Schizosaccharomyces pombe: one gene and its partners. The gene in region 2 interacts genetically with the main gene of each other region. Each region holds a gene or a part of one and is shown on either strand. Other genes may lie near its edges. The genes, in order: rnh202, SPOM_SPCC4F11.03C, utp16 and psy2.

Region 1 (5,180 bases), on a different chromosome or scaffold from region 2:
ATGTCTCGATAAACGAGACTCTTCTCATGGATAGATTGCACTCTTGCCAACATCTGTTTTGCGGCCATAGCAACTGTTTTTACACTAAATTTACGGCCGCAGAGATCGAGCAAATCTTCTAAACTTGGCCCAAGAAGGTCAATCACCAAAATGTTATGTAACCCTTCTTGGCCAAAATAATAAACATTCGGAATACCCGTACATCCTGCCAGCAACTTGTAAGTACGGTATTCATCACGTAATTGAGGAGCATCACTGCGTCTTGGTTCCTATAAGCAAAATCAATCAGTAATGAAGGAAACAAGAAAAATATCCAGCTTCAAAGCATGGCATCAAATGGATTCTCACTTACAAATTTAATGGCTACTTGTTGATTATTCAACAAATTCGTCCCTTCAAAAATAACACCAAACGAGCCTTCGCCAATTCTTCTTCCAACTTTGTAGTGGACACCGACTACATTGTTTTGTCCACTCATTATCTTTGAACGATTTGTGCTGGAGATTTGTCAAATATGATGTCTCCGTTTTCCGCTATCGAATGCAAAAAACTAGGTTGTAAGCGATTCCTGTTTAAATACTTTTATGAATTAGATTGAATCACAAAGATCTCCTATACAAACCTTGAAATTACAACTATTCAAGCCGTTATTGAGAAAAGAGGTGGATGGTGTTGGAACGGATGTTTTTAGTGGTGCTTTAGTTACGGAAGTGTCATGTGCATCACTTCCCTCTATTCCTGCCTGATTAAGGGGTTAGGTAATGCTGTCTTTGGAATACAAACACTGTTTCAAAACGTTTAAATAAACATACTATTACTAGTTTTCATTGCAAAAATCAATCGATAGCTAAGTTTTTAATTTTAAAAAATCCCGGATATTAAAATCCAACTTACAACGAAGTACTTTCATTAAGTAATAATACCGTATTTTCATATGCAAGGTGCATTCTTAAATAATAGAATCATTTTGCAGTCATATCACATTAAAAAACGCTTGTATAGCAAACGCACTAGCTCGTTGCATTCGCGCTTCTTGCAGCCAACATATCGCAAAAATATTTGTCAAATTTCCAAACCCATTTTCCAGCAAGACTTATCAACGAATACGAGTATGTTTAGATTCAGTCTATCAAGTTATCATTTCTACAATTTACATGTTTAAGTTTCTTTTTGTCGATGTGTACCTCAGTTTTTAAACTTTTACTAATATAAAGATTTCATCTCAAAATTGAAAAGTCCATTCTCCAACCTCAAAATGTCGAATTTAAAGCAGCCCCTTGTTTGGATTGATTGCGGTTAGTGAGCTTTAGTATAATCTTAGCTTTTAAAATGCATTACGATGGTTTTATAGGTAACTTGTACTAATATGATTGAAGAGATGACCGGGTTAGAGGTGGGAAAGCATGTATTGATGGAGGTCGCGGCAATCATTACTGATGGAAATCTTCGCCCCGTTGAAGAGGTAACTTTTAATTGTGAACATTGAAACATCGGCTTTTAACTTGAGATGTTTCAAGAGAAACAAATGCATGGTTTCGAAGTTGAGCGTTTATTAAGGCTGTCATACTAACTAAGGCGTAGAAATTTGATGCTGTTATTAAACTCGACGAAAAGCAATTGAGTGAAATGAATGACTGGTGTATTGAGGTATCTTTTCTTGCTTTTAGTTCATTCACGGATGTCAATTTTCTAATTATACTAATAAACAGCAACATGGGAAAAGTGGTCTTACGGAAAGATGTAGACAGAGTAATTTAACAGTGAAAGACGTTGAAAACCAGTTGTTAGCATACATTAAAAAATACATTCCAAAAAAACGAGAAGCGTTAATCGCTGGAAACAGTGTCCATGCAGACGTAAGGTTTTTATCTGTCGAGATGCCAAAGATAATCGAACATTTGCATTACAGAATTATCGATGTTTCTACTATTAAGGAATTAGCCAAACGCTGGTGCCCGGATATTCCTGCTTATGATAAAAAGGGTGATCATCGCGCATTGTCGGATATTCTTGAAAGTATTGGTGAACTTCAACATTACCGCTCTTATTGGCTTTCTTGAAACATTGCTCAAGAAAGAAGAATTCCACTTTTACAGCAATTGACAATATCTTGTAAACATGCCAAAAAAATTAAGGGTACTATGCTAAGAAAAAAATAAAAGCAAAATCATACCTCGGTGATCTTACTTTTTTGTAAAGAATGAAGATATTTTCGTCATTCCTTCTCCTGAGAAGTATTTGGACTTCTTGGTGGCCTGCTTCCGATTGGGCTTTTTTAAAAGACTTGATGTAATATCACTGTTTTGTGGACGTTTTTTAGAATTTAACAAAGCTTCCTTTTCTACCAAAATCTTTCTTGATTCTTCTAAGTTTTTAGTGTAAGCGTGCAGTGGGGCCAATTCTTCCTGCCAGTAGGCTAATTTGTTATACCATTCAGGTTGAAGATCTTCACAAACCAATGAAGCGGCATGCCACTTGCATGACAATTCTAGTAAATCTTGTGGAAGCGGCGTGCGGAGGTCCAAAGGCGCTAACTGTTTTTTAAGTTCGGTTACAATACTAGGGGGAAGATTTTCTTGAGCAACCTTGGCTTTCCTTAGTAAAATTTTAACAACAGAAGATTCATCCAGTTGAAAGGTCTTGGGCAAAGATCCTACTGGCTCGTTTACTTTACAAATCCGATGTAATGTGTTCAACAAATTCGGAGAGAGGACTTCTGACACTCGTGGATAATGAGGACCCATATTATCAAAGTGTTCAATGAAGTCTTCAAACGAGACATATCGATTCGGTTCTTTCCGGCGACTCCAAGTAAGTTCCTGAATGATTGGAAGCACAAGCGCGAGTAAGTCTATCGGGGTGCAAACATAGAGATATCCGTCCGATACTACATGATCCCCTACAAACCAAGACCTTTGTTTTGAAGAATCCCCAACTTGAAGGATTTGTAAAAGGTGATCGTTTGTTAATAAATAACGAAGTGGTCTCCCGGTCAAGGGATGTGAGAGTTCAACAAATTGTTGATTTGTAGAATCTTTGGGTAGTATGAATATCTTTCCCTGCATTTTTTAAGTTTAAATTATGAAACCCCAAAATTTGTGAGGCAATCACGTCTGAAACTTCGTACCACTATTTGCAACAAAAGTAAAAAATGCAAAGATATCAATTGAAAACAACTCTGAGTACTTGCAAACACAATTTTTTAATTAGAAAGATTTCGTTGTGTAACTTTCAGCTAAAGATGAGTATTTTGTAAAAGTATTGACAACGATTTGGGTATATCAAAATTTAAAACAGTGACGACTCTAGTTGTACATATACGAAAGAAATTAAGCATATAAAATTGATTGTTCCTCTTAAGATAATCATGAAGTTGATATAAAAGATGGCTGAAGTAAGAGGAGATTCGTACCGACTTTTTGTTGTCTGTTCAAGACACGTTGTTAGTCAAGAACTCCATCTTTATAAGAAAGCAGTACAAAAAAATGAAATGCATATTCTTAAAAAAGAAATATAACAGTCGATGTTGAAGTCAAGAGCGGCAATCTTAGTTATGAGAAATTCAATGGTAAACCACGGTAGTGAATTGAATAGAAAGCTTGCGGCTTCAAGTACCAAAAAAAAACAGCATTGGTTAAATTGAAAAGCCAAAGTATAGATATCCTTAATAAACTAATAAAATAGACATTGAGTATTTTCTCATCTTAATAATTGCTAGATTGACTATACTAACTGTTTATCACATCGAATTTTTTTTTTTTTAATGAAAAAAAACTGGTTGCGGACGTTATACATAAAGAGTGTATAATGGTGAACAAGACTAAGTCTACATGTTCTACTACGTTGATTGTAAAGTAATGAAAAACGTGAAGTACATTAGTTGAAAATTAGTGAAGTAACTAAAAGCGAACGAATATGACCTTCCTTGCTTGCAAGTACCTCAAAGGTGGTTGATGTGTTATTTAAACCATTGATGAATGAATCTTCCTCGTGTACATTCTTTCGGTGTAAGTCTCAAAATGGGTTATAACATTATTACATTGCTACCGCATTTTTTGTGACATGAATAGATCAACTTCCAAATTACTGTTTCATTAGCGAAGCTCCTTTTTGTATTTTTACTTAACAGTAAATACTTACAGTGATCTGAGCAATTTATGGAGCCTTTCTTGCGGGCCACTTTGAGAGCCATGCAGCAAGTCAGCTAGACTAACAATTTAGGCCAAATGATTCGTACTTTTTAACGAATATCTTGAATCATGCTTAATTGCTTCATTTAACACCCTACCTAGGGATTTACTCAAAACGATTCATGTAAACAATACTTTACAATTCAATGCAAATAGTGTGTTGGAACGAAACCCAATTTAGCTTCTTAAATTATGCGCAGCGGTTTCCAGTAGTATATAAAAAGTCCAAGCTTATTTACAAAATTCGGGTATTAGGGTAATACAAAAATGAGCGTTATACAAAAGCAAAAGGACGGTCACAGGAATCCTAATCTGTCGAATACAATAATTTAGTTAAAATAAGAAGCTACTGAAGTTTCTATATTAACAGGCTCTTTTCTGTCTAACATCCAATAATAGTTCTAAACAAATTCTCGCTTAATAAGTTTTAGTTATATTAATCATAAAAAGGGAAATTGTGCTAATCTTTCATAATCGTGGTACCTTGTGACATAAATTTTCAGTCATAACCATTTAAAGATAGTCCTTGATTATCTTTTTTTTTAATATTCCTATTAGCAAGACTTCACCGTTCATTAACAATATAAAAGGAACTAAAATATCATGTCGGATATAGTTTATGCCAACGTGTCTCATTACAACAAAATAGAAGCATCGAAATATGACAATCCAAGTACCTTGGCGATTTCCAAAGTGATTTCTTCAAAAATTTTACAGTTTGAAGACAATTCCGAAACCAGCCTAAGACATGATCTCCCAAAATATGATCAAGATAGGCTGCTTTTAACTTCGGATGATGATTTGACAAATGTAAATAATTTTTGGAAGAAAAGTGGTATGAGTATATTGGATTTTGCTTGTGGAACTGGTTTAATTAGCCAACACCTGTTCCCTTACTGTAAACAAATTGTTGGCATAGACGTTTCCCAAGACATGGTGGACGTTTATAATGAAAAATTTAGAAAGATGAACATTCCCAAAGAAAGAGCC
Region 2 (4,049 bases):
GGTTTTCTTTCGCCACCTCGGTGCGAAATCTAAAAAGTGTATTGAGAAAAAAAATTGTGGGGAAACCGACTTGTATTGATTAAGGAGACGCGGGCATGCATGTATGTCTTTCCTTTAATGTGAGAAGGGCTTAAAGTTAAAATACTTTCTTAAAGGCAACTGCAACAGTTGAAATCGATTAATGCGCCGCTTACTACAACAAAAAAAAAATTCGCAGTTTAAAAATCTTTAAGAAATCATATTCACATTACAGTCTGTGATTGTGGAAACTTATTTTTTCAAAGATCCATCAAAAAAGATTAAACCGTTTTACATGGCTGTTATTTACCAAATTTTCCTTACATCAAGCCTTTCAAAATATCACTCTTTTTATGTTTACAAAATGTTAGTTTTGGTCAATTTCTTCTCGTATGATTTTATATAGACGCCTTCAAGATTCAGTGTAAACGAAAAAAATAATAGCATGATTTTTTTTATCGTCATGGTGATGCCTGAACACAAAGACAGAGTGGCTTTTATTTATTATTTTATCAAGCAAAACTCCTTTAATAATAGCAATCACTTCAAAATTTCGCATCATCTGAAGCCTTTGTTTACTATTCTGAAGTCTTGAAAGGGTAATATCTTTCTTCCACTTTGAATAAACATAAAAGTAAAAAAAAAAGTTCCTCTGTTTTTCTCTTTTGAAAAACAAAACGTTTTTCTTGATTCATCCTTATAAAATTGCATTTAGTACTGTCACGAGCATTTGAAGCTTTCTAAGGATTACTTACTCCCTAGTTGTTTAGATTAGCATTTCCATTTTCGTTTTCTCTTTCTTCAGAACAGTCTCCATTAGAATTGGACTATAGTTCGTTGCTAACAAGTTCGTCTCTCCATTCATTACTGTATACATTACACTCTATCGTTTTTCGGATTGCAAGTGCAAACCTTCTAAATCTTTTTAAAAATACTTTTGCCCCTTCTGCTGTTAACCCATTGTTGATATTAGAAAACTGTTAGGATGGTGAAAGTCATATATAAATTTGCAGTTTTTGCTGCCGTCAACTTTTTCTTGATGAGTTCCATCGTTCTTTACTTCAACAATGAATTCTTGATGTTTGCAGACAGATGTACCAAGGACATCATTCCTTCCGAAGAACTAAGATATTTACGCCAAGTTCTTAATGATTCAATTCCTTCCAAAGATGAACCGTTGCCAACTTTGAAACTTGATTCCTTGAACGATATTTCAGGGGAACCTGTTATTCCAAAAATCATTCATCAAACCTGGAAAACCACAGAAGTGCCTGAAGGATGGAAAGGTGCTCAACAGAGCTGCATAGATTTACACCCAGATTACGAATACATCCTTTGGACTGATGAAATGTCTCGTAATTTCATTGCTGATAACTATCCTTGGTTTTTGCCATACTTCGATGCTTACCCTTTCAATGTTCAACGAGCGGATGTTATTCGGTACTTCGTTCTTTATCATTATGGAGGAAATTACATTGATTTGGACGATGGATGTCGTCAACGGTTAGATAGTCTTCTCTATTATCCCGTATGGGTTCGCAGGACCGACCCTGTAGGCGTTTCCAACGATGTTATGGGAAGTGTTCCTCATCATCCATACTTCGAACTGATCATTCAAAACCTCGAAAAAAATGCGAAGTCATATTGGCTTCCCTACTTGACTATCATGTTGAGTACCGGTCCCCTTTCAATCAGCTTTCTCTGGGAAAAGTACAAAAGACAACTACCCAACCCACCCGCATTTTACGACCACATTCGTGTTTTACTTGAAAGGGATTACAAGTTTTCCAACGACTCTTATTTCACCTTTTATGAAGGATCGTCATGGCATAATAACGATGCAGGCATTATCCTTTGGGCTAACCGTCACCTTGCATATGTAATCGTTGCAGGATTTTGTCTTTACTTTATCCTTAGCTATATGTTTTTCTCCAAGCTGTTGGACAGCCGTTATGTCCAAAGATTTGTCACATCGAAACGTAAACAACCTACACTTCCTCTTGCTCTTCAAGAAGACGTCTAACTTTGTGCATTGTACGTTTCCGTAAAATATGCGTCTTCTTTCCTAAAGATGATATTTCAAAGCTCTAGTGTGAACAGGCAACTTCGTTTCAATTTATATTGAATGGTTACACGAATGAGCATCCCCTTTTCCGTTCTACTATTAGGAATTCAATGAACATTTGCTATTGCTTGTTATACTGTGATTACGAGACGGTGCATAGAGAATTGCGTTGAAACTCGTTAAGGAACTATGAAATCTTACCACATATAGAGGAGCCTCAACCTTCACCACCAAACACAAGCTACGTACGCGAACGCGAATTCTAGGGCAGAGTTCGCTGGTTCACAAAAGTTTGAACATCCTATTTAACTAAAAGGTTGTTCAGATCTATTCAGCTTTGTGATTGCATAGAACTCCCATTGTTTGTTATTCCTTCCATGGATGCGGAAGGTGAACAAAAGTCCAATGGAGTAAAAGAACCTAATACGCCCCTTCGTGAAGCACTGGATGAAATATTTTTAAATGTAGGGTATTTGCTTCGTTCCCTTTTGGCTAATGTTCCCAATGCTCTTTACCATAGTCAGTTGCAGGCGGCATGTCAAAAATTCCAGGATTATTGCGATTTGGAAGAAATACGCATTATTGAAGCAAAACGTGTTGTTGAGCGCGATTTAAGATCTTTGGAAGCAAAAGAGGTAGAGGAGAAATCTCAGTTCGCGTCTTTCGTGAGCGCTACTCCACCTGGAGCAAACAGTCTTCAAGGCAATGTATCTTTGCCCTCGGGCAATAACTTTTTCACTTCCTCTTTTGATTCTGAGAACATTTCGAAACCGGGAGAGGTTTCTTTAAGCGAAAGTCAGTTACTGGGTAACTTGAACCAACAATCATCAATCCAGCTTCCTGATAGGATGCCAAAAACAACTAATGGGACTTTAGCAGATCCAAATATGCCACCTAAGACAACTGTAAATGATCAAGACGTAACAAAGGATGCATCTCAGCAATTTGGAGGCTCAAACTTTTCTAATTATTTAAGAGACAACGATTCCTTCCAATTTGGAATGAATACGGATGCATCGGGAGATGCTCATCTGCAGGCCAGTGAGTTTTTATTACCGAATCTATTTGGAAATTCTTCTACCTCTCCGCAAGACAACTTTGGTACTTCCAATTCAGCTCTTTCCCGTAATTTGGATTTGTTTGGCTCCCCATCTTCTGAAAATAAAAGTACTGCAGGATCGGCTTCTTTGTTTCCTAACCAGCAAATGGGAATTGACTTGCAAGCACAAGAAAACTACAGTGCTGCGTTCGGTAATGATGGCAGCTTTGCTTCGCATTTAACTAATACGTTTGACAACGCTCTAAATCTTCCTACAGACATTCCAACCACTGAAAGCATAAATGACTTGTTTGGTGAGAACTTTGACTTCACCATGACAAAATGAGTTGAGTTGACTTCAGTTCAGCTATGTATGATCGGTTTAACGTGGTTGTTTCAATTTGTCAATGTTTTTTTCATGTATTATTATCTATTACTATAGTCATTCATTTCCAGATCATTCAACAAAAAACCTATAAACGGTAATTATAAAAAACAATTGCATGTCTTTATCCGGTGAGTATCATTTGATTGTATTGCTCTGCACCTTTATGTATGAAAACTAGAGTTGAGACAGTAAGTAGAAAAGCGTTGTCTTTTTCCTATGTTTAGGCCAATGCTAAAATCTCGAATACTTGGTACAATTAGTGTATGTATATATATTTTTACGTGCAAATGGTATTTTAGCAGGAACGGGACAAAATAAAGACAACCCGTAACTTCAGAATAATAATTATAATTCGACTTTTAAATCGAAAATTAAAGACGATAAAAGGGTAAAATAAATTTTTTTTGGTGAACGTATAGCCTTTGTTATAAACACCAATGCATGCACGCAAGTACATTCATAATATTTGCGAAGCAATTGTAAATAAAAATACCGAAAACACTCACGAAGAACCTTAAAAAGAGTGAAATGTTTGTACC
Region 3 (4,123 bases), on a different chromosome or scaffold from region 2:
CTCAATAGCCTTGACTGGTCCAAAAATGCTCATAGCAGATTTCAATGACACATCAGATGTTTCGGGAGGAATGTTCTTGACGAATACAGATGTCTCCAACAGTTCATTACTCTGAGTGTACGGCGCTGTTGGCTGCTGAGTTTGGTCAGCATTAACACCTTTAACTGTTTGACCAGTTGTAGACGCAGTAGAACTAACTGATGCTTGGGATTTCACATCAGGATGATTACGAGCTATGAGATCAGCCCAAGATTTAGGTGCTGTAGCAACATTTGCATCGCTAGCCCCTATAGCATCAGCATTCTTCGAGTTTGAAGTCAGAGCTTCATCTTGAAGCTGATTTTCCTGCTGAGAAACAAAACTTGGGACTGAGGCTTCCGTAACTTGGATAACGGGTTCTTCAGGAACAGCCAAAGTAGCTTGATTTAGACTGTCGGTCTCATTTGATATAAGAGCGGCTGTGGCAAAATTATTTTCTGTAGCAGCTGGATCCTGGTAATGGCCTTCTTCTTTTGCAGAAGGTAAATGTTCTTGAGATTGCACGCCATTTACGTAAGGTTCAGAAGCAACATCTTTTTTCTCTTTTTCAACAGCATCAGGTGACTCCTCTTCTTCCTCAACATCTTCACGCAAAAAACGGAAAATATCGTTTAAAACAAAATAACCATTTGGTTGTTCTGCAAGGAAAAATGTTTGAGCAAATTTTCTGGATAATTTCCCCTTATTAGACATTTCACCCAGGACCTGGATGACAATGCCACCATTCGAAGAAGCCAAACTGTCAACGTTTGAAATAAGTACTTTGCAATTTTGAAAGTCCAAGTCCAATATCTTGTTATGAATTTCCTAACACGTTAATAAAATGACTATTGGGCAAGACAACGATCATAGAGTTTCGAAAATCGCAAGCAGAATATCACAACCTCAAAAACTTTACATATAAGAATTGTGTTAAAGCATACCTGTTGTCCATGACAAAGACTAATACTCTCGCCTTCGTCTCCGTGAATTAAAGTTGACTTTTTAGTATAGAAACACTGTATTACAGTTAGTACGGTTCACAAGTTGAAGAAAAAAAAACTTTTGGTAAATTATGACGACCTACATGAAGACGATTGGGTTCTTTATTTAAATATGTATAATATTCTTGAACGAACATCCATCCTATCTCATCCTTTCCCAAAACTGGTTCTAATAATGTGGCATTTTCCGCAGTCATGTTTTATTTAACTGTGACAATAGCTATACAAAGAACAGAAAATCTGGCTCTAAAAGACCCAAAACAAAATTCGGTCGTGTCTTATGTTTTCCGTGCGTTGGTCTTTTTAATGTCCCATCTCCTTGCTTTCAATGTCCGTGATTACAGCATTTCGTAATTGGATTTAACGAGACTAAACGATATTTCTGTTGATCTTTTACATTCAACTTGTTCGCATAAGTAAGTTAGTTGATGGAAAGAGAGACCTTTTGGTCAGAAAATTGTTTGGTTTTTCATTTCAACAAATAACATAAACATCATATGATTTACCATAGATCAAAGTTGCATATATTTCTTTCTATTATTGTTTTGCAAATTGATTATATTAGAAACGTTAATTCATTGGAAACCACTAAACATTTTGAATAGTAATACGACTATATACTGTGCTAGAGAGATTAACCTGCTAATGATTTTGCCAAAAGTCAATTAGTTTAACAGCTTTAAATGCAATCGTCTAGAAAAATTATGATACTAAAAAGAAAGTATGCGAGCCTTTAAATCATTTAATTAACGAAAATTGAAATTACTTTCTTCTTCTTATTTACCAGCATTAAAGGGTTAAAATCTAGTGCTATAATTGCAACGTATCTTACTTTAAATAAATTATTTATTGATAAATTTTGTAAGACTCAGGAAAGTACCTATCCTATCCATTTTGTTCACTGCCATTTTGGTGGCATTAAGAAGTTTCACTCGCATTGCCAGTTATCCTCCTCCTACACCAATTCAGGTCAAAAAAGTTTCAAATCCTTTAATAGTCTTCGTTTTATAGTATTAAAATCCAAAACTTGTCTGTTAAGGTATAAACTTCTGATAAAGACATTTTGTTGCATTACTTATTCGAAAATTGAAAATTTGTCAAATACTAGAATGGCAAGATTGACTGCCCCAAGCAAAGGTCCTTCATTTTCAAATTTAAACAAACCAAATGATTTGTTGAAAGCGGAAATTGAAGATAATGAAGCCTCACACTACTCTCAAAATCAATCATCTGACAGTGATTCTGATGAAGCACCTGAAGAAGTTTCGCTGAAGAGCAGCAGCGATGAGGTAAAAAAGAGACTTCAACGTCTGAAAGGGAATGAATTACAGTAAGTTTTAATAAACGGAATGAGGGAAACACTTAAAAATACTATTTGTTTTGGTTTGAGACAGAATAATAATTTGTTTGATAAAAGTTCGACTGCTCATTTCGTTTCCTTGCTTTTGATAGTATTATTTTTAACACATTTTAGGCTTCGAAAAGCTGAAAGAGAAAAACGTAGACTGCAAAATGAAAGAAATCGTGAAAGAAATGCCCAACGGGTAAGCGCATCAAAGTTGGATTTGGCTATTCTTGAGGCAGCTGAAGTTGAAGAAATTAATAGTACCACGGAAATCGAAGAAAAGGTTGACGAAGCAAGCCTTGACCTATATACTCCAAAAGGACATAAAATTGTTTTTCCTAATAACGAAATTCCTAAAAAACGTACTCGTTCATTTCGTAAAGGTGATTTTAAAGTGAGCGTTCTTAAAGAAACAAATGACCCTTTACTAGCGCCGAACTATGAAAAGAAACTGTCACAGCGTAAACGGGATTGGATAAATCGACAATCAGTTCCCCGGGCGTCTAAAAGACGACGTCCCTTGACTTATTAATTTTCCTTTCTCTATTTGGCAACACATTCGCTGTAAATTGAAAGTCAGGCACAAGCATTGCATTTTCTGTTAATATAAGGGTTTACTTTTTTGTTTATTAATAATATTGGTTGGGAAAAGGTTGTCTGGGTTCTAAAACATTCATTATTTGAAGCTTTGGACATGCTAAGTGCAGTTTACGGCTGTTTTTTTGGTAAATGTTTAACATAGTATTTTTAAAAATAAACACTTTAGACAAACATGAGTTAATTAAAGTTGTATCAAGGATTTATTGCCATGCACTAGAGGAAATTCGCTCATGTAACGTTTCGTACATCATAGATATTATAGATATCAGTAGCTATAGCTCATAAGGCCAAAATTTGCATAAATATATTATTAATTGTCTAGTGTATGAACATTTACTACTTATAATTATAAAATATTTGCATATAAATTTCTGAGATGGTTTGTACTTTCGACTACTTGCACTAGGCAAACTTCGCTTTTTAGCACCACAAAAATTTTGTCACTTCAAAGCATTGTTGACCTTCACCTCTGCAGCCATGTCGGCCCAGGATGTCGAAAACGCAGTAGAAGCAGCATTAGATCCTTCTGTAGGACCAATAATAAAGCAACAAGCTACAGATTTTATTGGTAGCCTTAGAAGCTCATCTACAGGTTGGAAAATATGCCATGAAATTTTTAGTGAAAAAACGAAATATAAACCATCAACAAGACTGATTTGCCTTCAAACTCTTAGTGAGAAAGTTAGAGAATGGAACAATGAAAGCAATTTGTTAGAGTTACAGATGATAAGAGACAGTGTTTGGTCTTATATTAAGGAATTAAGCTTTTTGGATGAACCAGCTTATATTAGTAATGCTGTACAACATTTATTGACATTATTGTTTCTTCAACTATATCCAAGCAACTGGAATGATTTTTTTGCTTCACTCCAAGGCGTTATTGCGGCGTCGTCTCAATCTGAGTTTTCAAATTTTTATTTGAAGGTTTTACTTTCCATCGGCGATGAGATTGCTGATTCATTGGTTTTAAAGACAGATGTTCAAATTCAAAAAGATAATTTAGTAAAAGATGCAATTAGGGCAAATGATATGTCTGATATCGTTTCATTCGTCTATGAAATGATGTTGGCCTATAGTAATGCTAAAAACTATGGCACGGTTGGATTGTGCCTTCAAGTATATGCACAGTGGGTATCTTGGATCAATATAAATTTGA
Region 4 (5,781 bases), on a different chromosome or scaffold from region 2:
ATTGCTTTGTACAAATTGTTTACCCCTAAAAATCGCTATATGAAGGCTCTTGAATCGGGCTGTATCGATTACTTCAAGCGTGGAGGTAATTGTGTTGAAGGTCCCATTCGTTTATTAGGCGGTTTAGACCATAGCCCTTCTCATCTTATCGGCCACTTCTATGCCGTCTGTCTCTATGGTATTTACCAATATGTCTTGTCTGGTCCTGCTTTGCTTATGCCCGTCCGTATCATCGAATCCTTATTGATTTTCTTACAAGCTTCGCTAGTAATTATCCCTTATATCCTTAGCGAAATGTCATCCTAAGTTTGCAGAATCAGTTCATTAAAATTAAATTATTTTTGATTTATGAATTGGTTGATTATGATTGTCTTGGCAATCACTGATAGCTATTTGGTTTTTGCCTTGTTTGGTACGTCGTTGTTTTTAAAGAAATAGTTTTAGATAGAGTTGGGTTCAAGTTTGTAATGACTTCACACTCTTTTTGTTTATTATATAAATCCCTCTGTTTTTCAAGAGTTATAAATTGCCGTTTTAATATAAAATACTTTTTTTTAATTTTTAAGCCTACTAAGTACAATTATTCGTCAGCGTTAAGTAAACAATTATCCCGAGACTACAAGACCACGATAGTAACATGAAAATTGGTATTTATTATTTTAAAAGTCCCTTAATGAACAACCCAAATCGTTTATATTATACAGATGAGTTTTCAAAACAATGATAAACCCGGGAACAAAAATACGATGTCCATATGATGATTCACTTGCATTACAATCTTCTAGAGTTTTTGGAGCTTCCCTTTTTATGTTCATCTTCTAGGAAGCGTAGCCATTCTGGGCAGAACTTGAATCGATAGAGAGTCTCTTTTTTGGTGATTCATCATCAGCTTGCTGATCATCAACTTGGAAATCCGATTTCCTTTTAGAATAACGGGTGTTTGAAACATTAATACCTGAAGATTCTGCAGAGGTATCATAAACTGCAGACTCAAGGAAATAACGATCCTCTAATATAGGTTGCTTTGGCTGCTCGCAACTGTCTTCAATATTTAGCTCAGCAGGGGCTATAGAATCAAGAACAGTACGTTGTCCAACTTTTTCTGATAATTCAGTATCGTTTTCAATAGAAAAATCTTGCTGTATTTCCCAATCTTTGGATACGTCGTCTCCAACACGTTGGTTATTATTGGAGGCACCGTCAAATTCATAACTATTTGATTCATGAGTCCCAACAGTTTTAGGGCTTCTTGAGTCAGAGCTTAAGCCATCTATTATATTTAAAAGCTCAGAAAAAGTACTGAGATTATTTAAAGATTCCAGCTGTGGTCGATAGTTTTTATTGAGATAATCCAGTGTATCTTCAGATCCCTCGGATCTTAAAAATTCAAAAAACTCTAAAGCAGCTGAGTTGACTAAATTAGTTTGGTCTTTGACCTTTAACATCAAGTCCAGAACTTTTCCGTATGTGTCAGTTTCTAACATGATCAAGGACATTTCTGACTGACGAGCGGCCAAACAAGAGCGAATAAATCTAAGGGCGCTCAAAACAACATATTTTCTATCGCTGTATAGTAATAGAGCCACTTTTGATGTAAGGGTTTTATATGTATCAAAACGACGAGACCAATAATCGTGTATACGAAAAAAATAACAAAAAAGCTCACACAAATGCATATACATATCAAGCTTTTTAACATCTAAACTCGATACATTTTCCAGCTCCAATAAAGGAGCAGCAAGCATATTAAAAGAGTTATCATAAAAATTTTCAATAAAATTAATTCCAATAATGTTATCGGTTTTATTTCGAACATTTCCATCAGCATTTCTGTAAGGATTATTGTATGCATAGCTACCAGGTAAACTTAGTAGCATTTTAAAAGCTTCAGAAATTTGAGCAAGTACTCCAGGATTTGATTCTTTATGCAAAATGTTAATTAAATTGGAAAGCAACGAATGTTGGGAAACGTGAGCATTGCTCAATGAAGAAGAAGCGTCCTTGCGATCTTGATCAAACTTTTGCCAAACGATGGCAGGTTCATGATCAATAATAGACACCAAAATATCGGAACCAGCATTTCGAACGGAATTGTTCTCATGTGACATTGCATAATCCAAAGCTTTCAGAAGATTAAATTTAACGAAAGTAGCAAATAATGCAGAGCAGGACTGGAATTGTAGCCCTTTAGCGATGTTGCAAACCTGCTGAATAAAGAATATACCGTCTTGCTTGCGTTGATCATCCTCGCCTTCATTCACATAAATGCTAAACAGTTCATGTAAAAATTTTTCATTTGTTTGAAGGTATTGAATAATATCAGCCTGGTTAAAGAAGATAAATGAATTTAGCACCGAAAAGGAGGGTTCGTCAACAATCCTTGAAACGACAACATCCCTTAGATACTGAAGCTTAAATGTCTGGTGAATTTTTGCAAGAATCCGTGGATCCTGAATGGGAACCACCTGCTTAAACTTTTTGGAATCCATTAAATATTCCCGATGGTTCGCTTTGATATTGGGGAATTCCGGATCGTATTCGAGAATACCAGCTACACACATTAGCTTTTCATCATTAGAGAACAACGATTCGAGTAAAGGGGCGTCGTTCAATTGCACTGACAGCGATTAGCAAGGATTTAACGAATCTAAAAAGTATAAAGTAGATTAACATACCAAAGCTTTTTATTATGGAACACAATCGATGAAGGTCATCTGTATTCTCTAGATCCTCACACAGAGGAAAAAGTTCAATAAGTCTATCAATATAATTTTCATTTGAAACATAACGAACCAAACTATCTCTTGATTGAATAGACTGCATATATCCATATACTGCTTCTTCAATTTCTTTTAAATTAGCAAGCTCTGGGGCTGGAAGATCGACCGTGTTTAGGTAGTTTTCATTAAGCGCCCCCTCATCCGTCAATATATCATCGTTGGAGTAACTTCTAGTTACCGATGATATTGCCTTTTGAACATTTGCTAAAAACATCCACATGTCTATACAACCGCTAGATTCTTGAAAGCTTAAAGCAAGATCAGTACCATTCAATTCTTGCCAGACTATGAGAGTTTCTTCTTGACGGCTGTATATATCTTCCGCAATCAATTGTGTTTTCAAAAGGATGGTTTCATTATCAGCTTCTGAACGCACAATGAAATAAGCCAACGGTCCCTCTATTTTTCCATCGCAATAACCGGTGCCACAGTCTACCCAGTTTTCATCTTCCATTTCGTACACTTTTACACGTCTGGGAATCGATGGCACTTCGATCTTCTGCAATGCAGCTGCAATTGCTTCGTCTAATTCCTCTTCTTCATTTTCTCCATCTGAAATTTCATCAATATTATTATTTAAATCTTCCTCTTCCTTCGTAGAATCCATTTCTACGGCGGATTAAGGGTAGACGTCAGCTTCGAATTTACGACGTTGGCGTTCGTCACCAAATTTTCAAAAGTGAAGACGAAATTCAAACGTGGTGGTGAATGAATGCAATACCGTAGATTGCACCAAGATTGTAATTATTAATAAATGTATTTCTCATTAAATGGCAATGCCGCTTTACTTAATTATTTGGTTTGCCTAAAATATAACAAATAGATTTGTTAAGCAGTGTACTATGTATATTTCACGTGCATAATTTTGAAGTGTTATGGCAGAATTATGTTCTTTATAGAGTCAAATAACTATTATATACGTGATCGTGGTGCTTTCAGTCACTATTTTTCATTGTAATTCGGTATCTGTTTACAACAATATCATTAACGGACGTTATGCATTTTAACGATGAGTACTTCACCGCTCGGTGTATATGCTGTAATCAATCCTTATATCGAGTTGTGTTTTAAACGTTTTATACTGTCTACAATTAGCATTTAAATCTTTTCGAAATAGTAAATAAACTAAATATGAATATAAATAAAGTTAATTATTGTCTAAACACATGTGTAGCCTCGTCAAATCAATTTTTTGCAAGTCAATCATGAGGCTCAGGGTACATTTGTAAAGTAATAGTTAATTTTTAAGTACAAACTAATGGTATTTATACCGATATATATATTGAAAGCTGCTAAAGCTTCGCTAGATATTCAAGTACTCTAGCAAATGCATCAATATAAATACAGTTTTTTTGCTTTTACTAAGTTTTATTGTTAAAGCGTAATACGAGAAATTTGCCAAATGAGAACACGAATTGAATTGATATAATTCCAGAAATAAAAATTATGTATTCAAGACGATGACTGTTGCGATATGCATGCTTACGAGTTTATCGATATATAAAAGACAAAGAGAGTTGAGCTTACCAAAACATATACTGATCCTTCATGGAGAAAAAACAAGATAACGAGGTGGAATTATATTCAATTGATTTAAAAAATAGAAATGAAAGTGCAAAAATAAAGCTTGCTTATGCGAAAGCGTTAGAGGAAAGCATTCTTTGTGAAACACGAAAAATCGAACAAGAAATTAAAGACCAAGTGGTTCAAAAGGAAAATAAAACATATTTTAATAACAAATTTGATAATCGATATAAATTACGCGACTTGGAAAAAAATTTAGCGGAGGAGGAGGTGAGAATTACGGAGATGCTTACTATTCAACGTCAAGACATTGCAATTGAAAGAAGGAAGAACACAAATTGCTTCAGTGAGTCTTCTCAAGTAGATCAATATTCAGTTACTGAAACCAATCTACAATATGCTACTAACATTGGCTTAAACCTTCTGCAACAGTTGCGGTATTTAAGGCTGCAACTGTCAGAGAAAGAAGATTTGCATAAAAAGTTGTCAGTGGATAATGCCCATTTAATCAAGCAACTTGATCTACTTTCTTCAAACATGAAAACACTTATGAAAGAGAAGACTAAGGTGCAAGGACAAAGGGATTTGCTTGAACAAAGACTACAAGGATTAATGAAAAAATTGACAGAAGTAGAGTCTTTGACCGTTTCACTTAACGATGAGAAGAACAAACTGACATTGGAATTAACAAATTTAAGAATTTGCCTTCACGAGCTTCAACTGAATGCCGAAAAAGGCGAAACTATAGATGAAAGTGAAGATTCTAAAAATACTTTGGTAACTGAGGATGAAAACGACGATTCTGTATTTTTGGAGTCTTCCTCGGATAAGTATTTTGATAGTTCATCTTTTGATGCGGAGCAAGAAGAGAAACACGATTTTCCAATAGATCCTTTTTTGTCGTTGGAATCCAATGTACAAACTTCGGTATCTCAATCATCGGCCGTTCTCAAATCCATCAATTTAGCAAAACAGGAGTTAGTGAGTGTAAATCATTTGGTAGCTGACGATACTAAAACACCGTCTCCAAATTTATCATCGGAAATAATTGAAAACACAAAAGCTGACATAAAGAAATCAATCAGGTCTCTGAACAAGGCAGTATCACCAGAAAACTCTATAGACATCGAAGATGAAACCGACAGAGATGATGAGTTTATTTGCTTCCTTTTGTCTTATCAGCAACTACAAAAGGCGCTGAAAAGTAACTTGGGCCTTTTTCAGCTTTCTTGCTTGTACCCACTTTCTCTGAATCATCTTATTCAGTCATTCTTTCAATCTCTCACCTCTCAAATTTCAATAAAAGATATTGACTCAAAAAATAAACAAGTCATTAAACTTTTCAAACCGACTAAAAGCTCAGATCGCCAGGAAATTTTTGAATTGGCTCAATTTGAACCTCGCCAAAAATTTCCTATAGATACGAATTCTTCAAAATGCGACATGTCTGCAAGTACTGAGATGCATTTGAAAGATA

Evidence for each region.
Region 1: mutations in SPOM_SPCC4F11.03C (region 2) and rnh202 together harm fitness more than expected from each alone (negative genetic interaction), as found in Schizosaccharomyces pombe (one large-scale study listed by BioGRID).
Region 3: mutations in SPOM_SPCC4F11.03C (region 2) and utp16 together harm fitness more than expected from each alone (negative genetic interaction), as found in Schizosaccharomyces pombe (one large-scale study listed by BioGRID).
Region 4: mutations in SPOM_SPCC4F11.03C (region 2) and psy2 together harm fitness less than expected from each alone (positive genetic interaction), as found in Schizosaccharomyces pombe (one large-scale study listed by BioGRID).

Annotation. Positions count from the first base shown.
Region 1 is NC_003423.3:4,072,657-4,077,836, forward strand, and holds rnh202 (ribonuclease H2 complex subunit), read right to left. Parts: upstream 3,440-5,180; 5' UTR 3,066-3,439; coding exon 2,184-3,065; 3' UTR 2,061-2,183; coding exon of another isoform or gene 1,710-2,060; 3' UTR 1,648-1,709; coding exon of another isoform or gene 1,582-1,647; 3' UTR 1,463-1,581; coding exon of another isoform or gene 1,377-1,462; 3' UTR 1,296-1,376; coding exon of another isoform or gene 1,215-1,295; 3' UTR 1,110-1,214; downstream 1-1,109. Other genes in the region: serine/threonine protein kinase (CK1 family) Cki1, read right to left, coding at 1-269, 353-478; rex2 (RNA exonuclease), read left to right, coding at 935-1,109, 1,215-1,295, 1,377-1,462, 1,582-1,647, 1,710-2,060; SPOM_SPBC1347.09 (hexaprenyldihydroxybenzoate methyltransferase), read left to right, coding at 4,794-5,180.
Region 2 is NC_003421.2:2,006,151-2,010,199, reverse strand, and holds SPOM_SPCC4F11.03C (uncharacterized protein), read left to right. Parts: upstream 1-2,460; coding exon 2,461-3,468; 3' UTR 3,469-3,549; downstream 3,550-4,049. Other genes in the region: mannosyltransferase Imt2, read left to right, coding at 1,004-2,041.
Region 3 is NC_003423.3:3,649,403-3,653,525, reverse strand, and holds utp16 (U3 snoRNP-associated protein Utp16), read left to right. Parts: upstream 1-1,705; coding exon 1,706-1,743; intron 1,744-1,788; exon of another isoform or gene 1,789-1,809; coding exon 1,810-2,352; exon of another isoform or gene 2,353-2,496; coding exon 2,497-2,899; 3' UTR 2,900-3,165; downstream 3,166-4,123. Other genes in the region: ubiquitin protease cofactor Nxt3, read right to left, coding at 1-846, 963-1,037, 1,106-1,219; karyopherin exportin-T Los1, read left to right, coding at 3,445-4,123. UniProt on the Schizosaccharomyces pombe protein: Functions as part of the small subunit (SSU) processome, first precursor of the small eukaryotic ribosomal subunit that coordinates the first two steps of ribosome biogenesis in transcription of the primary transcript pre-RNA and pre-18S processing.
Region 4 is NC_003423.3:893,747-899,527, forward strand, and holds psy2 (serine/threonine protein phosphatase PP4 regulatory subunit 3 Psy2), read right to left. Parts: upstream 3,669-5,781; 5' UTR 3,388-3,668; coding exon 2,676-3,387; intron 2,618-2,675; coding exon 819-2,617; 3' UTR 626-818; downstream 1-625. Other genes in the region: squalene monooxygenase Erg1, read left to right, coding at 1-306; dynein-anchoring factor Num1, read left to right, coding at 4,329-5,781.